Lytechinus pictus: one gene and its partners. The protein of the gene in region 1 interacts with the protein of each later gene in a pairwise test. Links are inferred from orthologs where the notes say so. Each region holds a gene or a part of one and is shown in the gene's direction. Other genes may lie near its edges. The genes, in order: tax1-binding protein 1 homolog, microtubule-associated proteins 1A/1B light chain 3C-like and gamma-aminobutyric acid receptor-associated protein-like 2.

The links.
Region 2: the proteins of tax1-binding protein 1 homolog (region 1) and microtubule-associated proteins 1A/1B light chain 3C-like interact in binary tests that used the Homo sapiens proteins (3 or more experiments, as listed by UniProt). The link is inferred for Lytechinus pictus from reciprocal best matches to the Homo sapiens genes TAX1BP1 and MAP1LC3C.
Region 3: the proteins of tax1-binding protein 1 homolog (region 1) and gamma-aminobutyric acid receptor-associated protein-like 2 interact in binary tests that used the Homo sapiens proteins (3 or more experiments, as listed by UniProt). The link is inferred for Lytechinus pictus from reciprocal best matches to the Homo sapiens genes TAX1BP1 and GABARAPL2.

The regions. Positions count from the first base shown.
Region 1 is NC_087247.1:54,054,503-54,058,339, reverse strand, and holds the start of tax1-binding protein 1 homolog, read left to right. Parts: upstream 1-1,026; 5' UTR 1,027-1,189; intron 1,190-3,837.
Region 2 is NC_087251.1:17,740,762-17,744,361, forward strand, and holds the start of microtubule-associated proteins 1A/1B light chain 3C-like, read left to right. Parts: upstream 1-1,370; 5' UTR 1,371-1,607; coding exon 1,608-1,689; intron 1,690-3,600.
Region 3 is NC_087246.1:27,482,021-27,485,857, forward strand, and holds the start of gamma-aminobutyric acid receptor-associated protein-like 2, read left to right. Parts: upstream 1-1,299; 5' UTR 1,300-1,599; coding exon 1,600-1,633; intron 1,634-3,837. UniProt on the Homo sapiens protein: Ubiquitin-like modifier involved in intra-Golgi traffic. Modulates intra-Golgi transport through coupling between NSF activity and SNAREs activation. It first stimulates the ATPase activity of NSF which in turn stimulates the association with GOSR1.

The DNA.
Region 1 (3,837 bases):
ATACCCAATTAACCATGTATTCATGATTTACATAATATTAATAGAGTGTCCCGCGCTTTTAGATCTAAAATCTCAATTTTCTCCCTCTCGCGCTTCGCGCTCGCATCAATTGTTTAGTTACATACCTATCCCATTTATGATTACAAAAGGTGCTTAGAATGACCATTTATGAGGTCGCCTTTGTCAATTTTTTTAGCTCGCGCTACGTGCTCCCATTGTTGAAATATATACCGTCTTCGCGCTATAGGCCTACTGTAAACAGTCATAACAGGTCCCTTTTCGATCATGCTAGAACAGTTCGCGCTTGGCGTTCGCAGTAATTATCTAGTTACATACGCATCTTGTTCAGGTTCACAAATTACATTGCCCAGAACTAAATTTTCAGGACAAAATACATGAAAGTTTAACAAAAAATTACTCGCGCTTCGCGCTCGCACTTTTTATAAAGGGCTTATGAGATTATTTCATATTTATGTTGGTTTTATAAAAATAATTAAAGCTAAGAAGTGACTGATCGGGGAAAATATAGGTGAAGATAATTTTGGGCCCGTCCCCTATTGGCGAAAGTCGGATCCGCCCTAGACACATACGGTACACACACACGTACACACAAACAGAAAAAATGTTGCCCCCCCCCCCCCGGAAAAAAATCCTAGCTACGCCACTGGGTGTCGTCAACGAGAGATTCGGAGGAAAAAGTTCTCCGAATTTGTATTTTGCAATAATACTTTCGACATTTGCATCTTGGACCTACAATGTTCGCATAGACCCATGCATGAACCAGCTCTATGCATGCAAGCTGTTGAGTGTTGGAATTCCCCATTTCAGTATGACATCTAGTCTATAAACAGGAAAGTTTATGAAAAATTATAGATCTAAAGATAAATCAGCTTACTTAGGCAAATTGTAATTGTGATTCAATCAATACTATAAAAAAAGGCTTTAAATTTGACGACGAAGAAATTAGTGGAATTATTTCATAATTTACGATTGACTTATTTATTTGTGTCTTTTTTTTCCTAATAGACTTGATAAAGACTATAGGTCAACCCAGAGGGCATGTTTCGTCATATGTTATTTTCACAACAAAAGTGTTGAGCAGATATACAGATCGGTCAGAAGCGTCGAACATCTACGGAAATTAGTACGATATTGCACGAAGTAGGAAATGCAGACGTGGATTAAAAAAGTAAGCCGTTTTGTATTTTGTGAGTTCATTTGATTTGGTGAGGTTGAGGCCTGACAATGACGGTCTGAATGAGCTCAGAGTCAGAGTCAGACCTGAATTGTCAGAGTCAGACTCTGACTCTGTAATATTCCCGTTTGGTGGTTGTTCCGCTGAATTGAACTGCGTTGGCTCCACTCGACTCACAAATAAATAGTGAGCTTGGAAGATGGAGGCCCGTACTATTTAGCAGTATCCAGTAACGTTAGACATGTTAGTTCTAACATTCGGCGGAAATCCGATTTTAGGATTTTTTTTTTTTACTTTTTAGTAACATAGACCTAGGGCCTACCGGTAACATTTCAGAAATTGTTAAATAAATCCCTAGAAACGATGGTTATTCCTGTTTAAATTGAGAGTAGGGAGTTCGACTTCGATGACTTTTTGAAATCTTGAAGAATCCCAACAAATTTGATATCATTGGAAAGCTTGTGAAATAAGAAAAATAACGGTGCTTCATTTAACTCATTGTCTGATAGTGATATATTGACGGAGATATTCCAATTTACAGGGGAAAATATGCAGATTTTGTTCTGTCAAAAAAAATATTAAACTAGCTTTTTTGAGTGGGGGAGACAGTTGCTTTTTGAAATCTTGAAGGAATCCCAACAAATTTGGTACCATTGGAAAGCTTGTGAAATAAGAAAAAGAATGGTACATAAATCAACTCATGATGTCAAATATTGACAGAGATATTTCTGTTTAAACTAGCCAGGCGGCTTCTAGAGAGAAAAATCATTTACTAACGTAAGGTTACTCTCATACGAAGCCAGGGAGTCCTCCTTATTCATCTGCGTGTACCGCAAAAAACCCTGAAACTTTCGCCCCCGAGATTTCTACTTTCCTTCTAAAAGATCTAGCTCTAAATCATGTACATGGGATAAAACTTCATTTCCGACATTTCTACACTCTCGTTGTTATTTTTAAACAAGAATTCATCAAAAAAAATGAAAAAATATTGTGAAAAGACGGAAGAGACTTGCCCGATGTTTACGCCGCCATCTTGTTTCTTATTGTACTTCCCCAACATTACGCGACGCTCGCGTCCGTGCTCAGACCCTTGAACAAAATATGCAAATCAACTAACAGGCAATGCAAGCGCGAAGATTTTATACATGTATCTGTCTGTTTGTCCGTCCGTCCGTTAACTTTTCCTTGTAAACGCGATAACTTCAGTTTCACTTATTCTAGGTTCATATAATTTTGTGTGTATGATACTAGCATGGATCCCAGGAAGCCTATTGATTTTGAGGTCAAAAGGTCAAGGTCACAGTGACATATTTTCATCCAACCCTTCTGCATTCCTTGTAAACACAATAACTTCAGTCTAACTTAACCTAGGCTCATATAATTTAGTGTGTATGATGCTAGCATGAATCCCAGGAAGCCTATTGATTTTAAGGTAAAAAGGTCAAGGTCACACTGACATGTTTTCATCTTACCCTGCTGCAGTCCTTGTAAATGTGATAACTTCAGTTTAACTTAACCTAGGCTCATATAATTTTATGTGTATGATACTAGCATGGATCCCAGGAAGCCTATTGATTTTGAGGTCAAAAGGTCAAGGTCACACTGACATATTTTCATCTTGCCCTTCTGAAGTCCTTGTAAATGCGATAACTTGAGATTAACGTAACCTAGGCTCATATAATTTTGTGTGTATGATACTAGCATGGATCCCAGGAAGCCTATTGATTTTGAGGTCAAAAGGTCAAGGTCACACTGACATATTTTCATCTTGCCCTTCTGAAGTCCTTGTAAATTGCGATAACTTGAGATTAACGTAACCTAGGCTCATATAATTTTGTTTGTATGGTATTCGAGCATCGATCCCAGGAAGCCTATTGATTTTGAGGTCAAAAGGTCAAGATCACAGTGACATGTTTTCATCTTACCCTTTTGAAGTCCTTGTTACCGCGATAACTTTAGTTGAACTTAACCTAGGCTCATATAATTTAGTGTGTATGATACTAGCAATTCTATTGATTCTGAGGTCAGGAGGTCAAAGGTGAAGTCACCATCTTCCACTCTTCTTGCTTGACCAATACATGTAGCTCCATTTTCTGCATAACAGACGGGCGTATTATGTGCTCGCCTTAGCGACACTCTTGTTAGTGCATGAAATACAAATTTGGGTTTGAATCTATAAATAAAGCCCTTGAACTGCTTATTTTTTATTCTAAGGAATTCTGATCAAATGCATATAAAATTTAAAAAAAGTCAGTATAAAATGGTTTTTATGTTTTTTTTATATTATGTACAGTTTTTTTTTTTTAATGGAAATTATTGGCAATAATTTTCCATTCATTATCAAAAAGTACAAATAAAGATACAGATTCATATTGGCTTTATACATGAAATCACGTTTTTCAGCAAATCGGGGTCTGACATGCACTTGTTTAATATCATAACCGCGTACCCATGCATACACCCCTTTATGGCGTGGCCCTGTCATATTTATGGACTTATCATAGAAATTTTTAAGGGGGCCGTTAAGGTCCCCTGGGATCGTTTTACTACTTTTCTTCATCTTTGAGAGGTCCAAAGTTTCACCTGCTTTTGTGTGTACCTCAAGAGTACGATGTCAGTTCTAGATATTTGTAAAATATTAA
Region 2 (3,600 bases), on another chromosome or scaffold:
GGGAGGGGGTGTCAGAGGGGGCACTTTCTCTCACCCCAAAATAAAGTATTGAGGGCAAAGCAAGCATCCCCCCATGTACCCACTAAAAGAAAAAAAAAGTAATCGATTATTTTGAAGGGAAAATAAATTATGAAGCATATTCTTGTATAAAATTTTCAATTTCATAACTGAAAAAAATGAAAGAAAAATAATTGCACCTGACGGGGCAAGTTAAAGGGTAAACCCTTTTATTTTCCCTTAATTCTTAGTTTACATGCAATGTAAGGATATTTTTTATTGCTTGCGTATAATGAAATAAATAGTTTTCTTAAATATTTGTTTTCATCCTTCACTGTGAATTTTGACTATTTTCGAAGAATTTTGTTTTTAAATGCTTTCTAAACGCGACTTTTATATCCAATTCTTGACAAACTCCCGGGGGGCGGGGGGTCATAGGCGGATCCAGGGGAGGGGACGCCGCTTTGCAGGACATCTCCCGAGGACCTGTGTGTGGCTGTGAGATTGTTCCAGTCATTTTTAATTTTGATGTTAACTTCGTAGCTTCTTTGCGATTGAGCCAATCACTTAAACATGCCTGTGAAGGACATGTGTTAGTTTAGGGTTTAGTTTCTTTTTTTAATAGAGTTAATATAGTGGCGCCATTCGAGTATATTACTTGGCAAATCCACCCTAACAAAAATTTAATTTGAATAAAGAGATAAAATTGAACAAGAATAACACTGAAAATTTCATCAAAATCGACTGTTTTGATATTCTAAATGTTCACAAAACAGTTGAATGCACATCCTGGTTAGTACGTAAACGAAGGGATTGATGACATCATCCACTCAATATTTCATTTATTATTTTTATTCTATTTTATGAAATTTGATATTACTAAAATTTTCTCTTTATTTTCATGCCTGGTTTTCATGTGAATCAGTTTTATTCCTCCCTGAACCTGTAGAATTACCATTATTTTATTTAACATTTTGTGTTTCAATCAGTGCCCTTATTGTCAAATCTATATATACAGAAATTAAAATATTGTATTACAATAAAAACATAAGAGAGTGACATCATTGACTCTCTCATTTGCTTATCACTGAGTTGTGAATATAAATGTGAAAAATACATTTGTAAAAAATAACCGAAACTTAAAAAATTTTACTTTACATCCGATTTTAATAAAATTATTAGCATATGTCGCTTGTTTGACTTTCATCTGGATCTATATAGGTCAACTTTTTTCTTTCGGGGTGGACTTGAATACATTACATATACCTTGATTTTTACACTATTCCCCCTCTAATTTTATTCTTGTTTTGGCATCAATATACCCAAGACCCCCCCCCCCCTTCTGCCACGATGATTAAAAGCAGAGTGACGTCACTCCCAAACAAAGATCAGCTGGCCCACGCTTGTCTGCATACAGACAGAACACAGAACCTTGCACACGTACCGTAAACTGGGAGCGCGTTCGTGAATTTTGTTTACTTTAGCTTGCTGAGGAACTGTTTCACCGCCTGACAGTCTGGATTTTATTGGAGCTAATATTTAAAATTTCAACCTTATCTTGCAAATCGCTGCTAACGTTCCCCGTGGATTTTTAGAGGTGTACTGCCACGATGGGAACAGACAAGAAGACAATCGAAGCTGAAGAGAAGGATGAAAAAGTATACAAATCTTTCAAGCAACGCAAAACGTTTAGTAAGTAGAATTCATATGCGGCTGTGCATTACTGTGCGATGTACAGTCACGTAGTACTTAGCATACTTGTATGCCGTGGTGATTGTTCGATGTTCTTTGTCTGAATGAGATAGGTATACCCAGTTTTTTTTCCGAATGTTATTATTTAATGGAAAAGGTTTATCTCAATTACCACTTAAATGATGGGACGTTATATTGTCTGTTTGAATTATGAAGATATAAAACGCCTCATTGTTAAATACTAACCTTTTTGTTTAATATTATTTATTCTTGACCTTGTTATTATGATTGATTTGTTTATTTAGATTCAGTTTAATACACCACAAACAAGAAATTTATGATGGTGTATTATGAAAGTTTGATGTGAACAACATTTTGATGATGTTAATAAATGATGCATCTTGGCAACTAGCCAACTACTGTATTGGTATAGGCCTACTGATCATGAGACAATTTATTTCTTTCATACAAATTTATGGAACTTAATTTAATAGTACTATTACTTTTTGTTCAGAAGTCAGAACCTGCTTCAGAAATGGTAGTATAACAGTGAGAAAGAGAGATAAATAGTTCCATATTCCGAAACAGTGATGGAGTTTATGTGACATGACTTTGTATTGGAGCCCCCCCCCCCCCCCATTATACTGTATCCGCCTCCCTCATTTCATTAAAATACCCATCTAGAAGGAGGAAAGACAATCCTTTTCTTTAGCAACTAAGGAAACCAAATTCAGTTCCAAGTGAAGAAAAAAGTAGAGAACAAGAGCAGGAACAAAAAAGGATGAGAGAAGAAAGAAGGAGAAGAAAAAAAAAGAAGAAGAAAGAGGGGTAGAAGGAGAAGGAGGAAAAGAAGAAGGAGGAGGATAAAGAGAAGGAGGAGGAGAAGAAGAAAGAGGAGGGGGAGAGGAGAAGGAGAAGAAGGAGAGGAAGAAGAAGAATAAGAGGAAGGAGGAGAAGAAGAGGAAGGAAGAGGATGAAGGAGAAAGGAAGAGGAGGAGAAAGAGGAGCACTGTAAGAGAAGTGGAGGGGGATTTATCACTTTTTGAGAAAGAGGTGACACAATGATTGGACTTTGAATGTTCAAATAATTTGAGTAAAAGTTGAAGGTTGTAAAATATCTGATGTTTTCGATAAGTTTTGTTTATAATACTGTAAGATTTGAAATATTTATGAAAACATGTAAATTTTATTATTTTATTGTATTATTTAACTAAATATCAAACTTATGATGGAAACATGTAATTTACAAATTCCTCTTTTACAATTAGCAGGAAATTCTGGGTGTGGAATGTAGAAGTGGATAGATATTTTATATAGGATTCTGTCTCTAAAAATGCAATTGAAATGATTTTATAAAACACAATTTCAATACGTGAAAACCTTACAGTTGCAGTTTGATTTTATTCAGAAAGTTTCATACTGTATCAATATCCATGGGGAGTTCATGTACATGTACATGTATGTTGAAAATTTAAAATGATGACAATTCTGTACCATAGTTTAGATTAATTGTAACTCATTAATAAGCTAAAGGTATAATTAAGCTTTATTATTAATCAATTTTTGCTAATCTATCTAATTAAAGAGCAATAAACCCGGCTGTATGATCGCACAAGCAAAGTGTCCTTTCCTAATAAGCATTGTGCAAACACTTCAGTTATGGTAACTTACAGGAAGATGTTATAAAGTAGGCCTATTCAGAAAGAATTAATCATTCTTTAATTCAACATTATAATCCATTAACAAACAATATAAATATTTGTGATTTCAGCATCAAGTCAATGGTTGAGAGTTACTGCAAGGTTGAAGAGAGAAAGGACAGAGCATGAATTTGAAAAAATACATACACTGTACATACACTGAAATTGAATTTGATGAAACAATTATGCTTGAAATTATAGGGCTGCTATC
Region 3 (3,837 bases), on another chromosome or scaffold:
TTTAATTCAAATGAATTGGTCAAACCTATATAGATTTTGGCATTTTCATTGTCATTTTCCACCATTCATCTTTTCCCACCATAATATTGATTTATGATGGCAATTCAATAAATGCCCCCAACGTCATTGGCCAAAGTTCATTTACCTTAAATTACCTTTGACCGTGGCTCGGCATGACCTGAAACTCACTATAGGATTTTCACTGACTCCCTTATTTCTAAGTTTCATGATAGCTATAAAAACCTGTAGGCCTATTTCAAACTTATTACATTTCACAAACTTATCCTGTTTTAAGATTTCAATGTTTACGACGCCGCCCGCGTGGCGCCGTCGGAAAAAGCGGCGCCCTGTCTCTGCAGGCAATCAAGACAATTGTATTTTTCTGCGGGAAAGATAAGCCGTTACCATGGCAATGGATCTTTTGCAAATACTTTGATGACTTGATAGGCCTATATCTAGAAATTGAATTTGGAAGGCTTAAGAATGATAGATTGGACCATTTAAATTGACAGGGTAATGTGCCATATATATAGGCTCAATATGTTATTTTTTTAAAACATATTAATCAGTTGCCATGGCAACGGCGGAAGGAGGCATTTATGAAACTGGCAACAAGCGGATTCATGTTCAGCACCATCAAAATAGAGGAAATGACACAAAAAATCAGATTCTAAAGAAAAGTCTACTTGAAAAATTATGACAATTCCGTTTATATAGGCCATATACTCTTACAATGATTATCATACACATTCAGGGTGAGCGGAGTTAGGGCAGGCTGCTATCTCAATGTATGCCCTCGCTAATTCATTCACACAACAAATATTCATTCTAGAAAAATTTGTCATGACGACATATCAGGACCTCCCGCACCTACGACTCTCACATTTTCATTCATCATATAAGAATATAACATTTTTCACTGTTTTAAGGAGTTTTTAAAGTGATTGAAAAAAAAACGTAATTTGGTGCAGTTGCGGTACAGTTGATCGAAGTTCAAACAGTCGGGTTACTTTACATTTAAAGCAGTATTTCACGATGATTTATTAAGGGATTGATTTTATTTTTCCACACTTGGTTTTTTCATGTAATGGTCTCCTCTTGGCTGCTTAATTATGCGAGTATACTAAACAATAAGGAATTTGGGACGAATTTAAAATGATAATCATAATAAGCAGCGTGCGCATCGCGCTTGTGAGGGTGAGCGAGAATTGGGCAGCGTACGGTACCACTCATGAATATTCACGAATACGAAACGCGCCGAAATAAACAATGATGTTATCACGAGATGCATGCTGACACGGAAGTAGATGCGGTATTTATACATTGGAGCTTCAGCTGTGTTATTGTGCAATGAATATTGTAAACAACAGACAAACGTTAACCGCAGCAGCAGAGTTGTTTCTGTAGTGTAGAGAAAAATCGGAAATTCGAGATCATCTCAACAGTAACTTGTTACAAGCAGAACATTTATATGATTTCTCTCATATTATCGGTAGTGAAACTATAGAACATTTTGTCGGGATCATTTCTGTGTGTGACCTACGAGTGCGACAGGGCATTTTTCTGTTGGAAAAAAGGAGCCAAGCGCAACTTCACAAGATGAAGTGGGAGTTCAAAGAGGAACATTCGGAAGGTGAATATTTTCAATTCAATTGGAATTGATTGAACTTGTAAAGGGGAGAGGCTAGAGGAGGCGGGATAGGGGTCAGCCTAAACAAGAGGATTCTGTGATGATTTTTTTTATAAATGTGATATTGATATTTATTCAATTGACAAAGAGTCCTTGCTTGGCTAGATCAGGGGCCGGGGGGGGGGGGGGGGGGGGGTGGGCGGCACTCGACCAAAAAAGTGGTAGGGGTGTGCCGCGGGCGAGACAAAAAACGGGGGCCTTGGAGCGGGCTAATTGTAAAAAGGAGGGTCCTCGGAACGGGCTTCGGAACTACAAATGTTTGTGAAAACGGGGGTCCTTGGAACGGATCGCCAGCGTGTGAGTGCGTATGCATCCCTATGCCTATGGAACGTGCATGCAGCTAGCCCGGCAGCATGGGCGCCGGGTGCGCTAGCGCAGAGGCGATGGTCGGACAGCTCTGCGGCCGCTTTTCACCAAAATTGCGGCTCATCGTAGCAGATCAATGCGACCGGAACGGCGTAACAGAAAATATGCGAAGCTTTGGAGCGGATTTCTTCTTTTTTTCTCGATAAGAAGAAAATGCTATGCTTTGGAGCGGCTTTCTTTGTTCTTTTTCTCAATAAGACAAATATGCTATGCCTTGGAACAGAAATTTTAGTGTAAAAATGGGGGTCCCCTCCGCGGCACGTACCCACTATGCATTATATACTGAGTGCCCCCCCCCCCCCCGGGGGGGGGGGGGGCCGGGGTGGGCAGTAACTAACCTCGTAATATAAGTGAGTGGAGGGGGGGGGTGTTAATGGGAAAACAAGGAGTTTTGGGGAGGAAATTGGACCATTCTGTTCTTTGGGGGAACTGGTCACCAATGCAAATCTTATGAGTGATAGTATTAAGTTAGCCATTATTTGCCATAGCAGGACTAATAGTAACCCAGAGAGCTCCCGCCCGCACAGCGGGCGGGAGCCCAGAAGCTTACCGTGTATTTTACCATTGTCACCGGACTAGGGTGATTTATGGTCTAAATATTTCTCCAAATGAATTGTGAAAACAGAAAGTATACAATTACCATGATTATATGGATGAAGGTCTAACGAGTGGCAGATTCCTGACATCTGGGCACAGTCTGGAACCTCAAAAAAACGAAAAGTTCTCTCCTTCTACCCCGTCTCGATCGGCCATTTTTGTTAAAAATCGTAACAAAATGGCCGATCGAGACTGGGTAGAAGGAGAGAACTTTTCGTTTTTTTGAGGTTCCAGACTGTGCCCAGATGTCAGGAATCTGCCACTCGTTAGACCTTCATCCATATAATCGTGGTAATTGTATACTTTCCGTTTTCACAATTCATTTGGAGAAATATTTAGACCATAAATCACCCTAGTCCGGTGACAATGGTAAAATACACGGTAAGCTTCTGGGCTCCCGCCCGCTACGCGGGCGGGAGCTCTCTGGGTTAGACTAATAGTAATGACTGTACGACTATACTACGAGGTGCATTGCTGTGTAAGTGTGTTCATTTGTCAATTGTAGAGAATATTAATTTGCTTGCCTTTGTTTAGACAGGAATAACCGTCGTTCCTTGGGATTTATTTAACAATTTTCTGACATTTTACTATCATCCCCATTGGTGAGTGAGCCAACGCAGTTCAGCGGAACAACCAAAATACAGAGACTGAAGCTTTCGGTCGAGCCTTTGTTGTGCTGAAAATAAATTGTAATACTACAGTCTACAGAATGATAAAATGGTTTGTATACAACCCAGTACGACAATACACCAGATGATGACCTGCACTAAAGAACTTTAAGAAGGGTAACTTGCATGAGCATGATCATTAGACTGAGAGAGAATTAAATTCCGTAATTAGAATGAACACATGTGAGTGATGCTGATCTCACTACTTCTCTTCCTCCAATATTTGGAAACCTGTCTCAGTCTAACTTGGTTCAGTGGCACCACCGGGGTCACAAAACAAAATTGACATATTCCATGTCAGACTAGGAAATATTTATTGATCAGGGATATTGTAAGGTGCAAAATAATAAGTGAGTTCAGGGGTAGAAAATTATATATATGTTCAAACTTGAAAGAAGCAAACTCAAATCAATCAGCCAAAGGGAAAATAAGTGAAAGTAGGAGAAGATGCAAATAAACTCACTGAACTGAAGTCGAAGAAGTCTGGTAGTGCACTGATTTAATCTCTGGGCTACT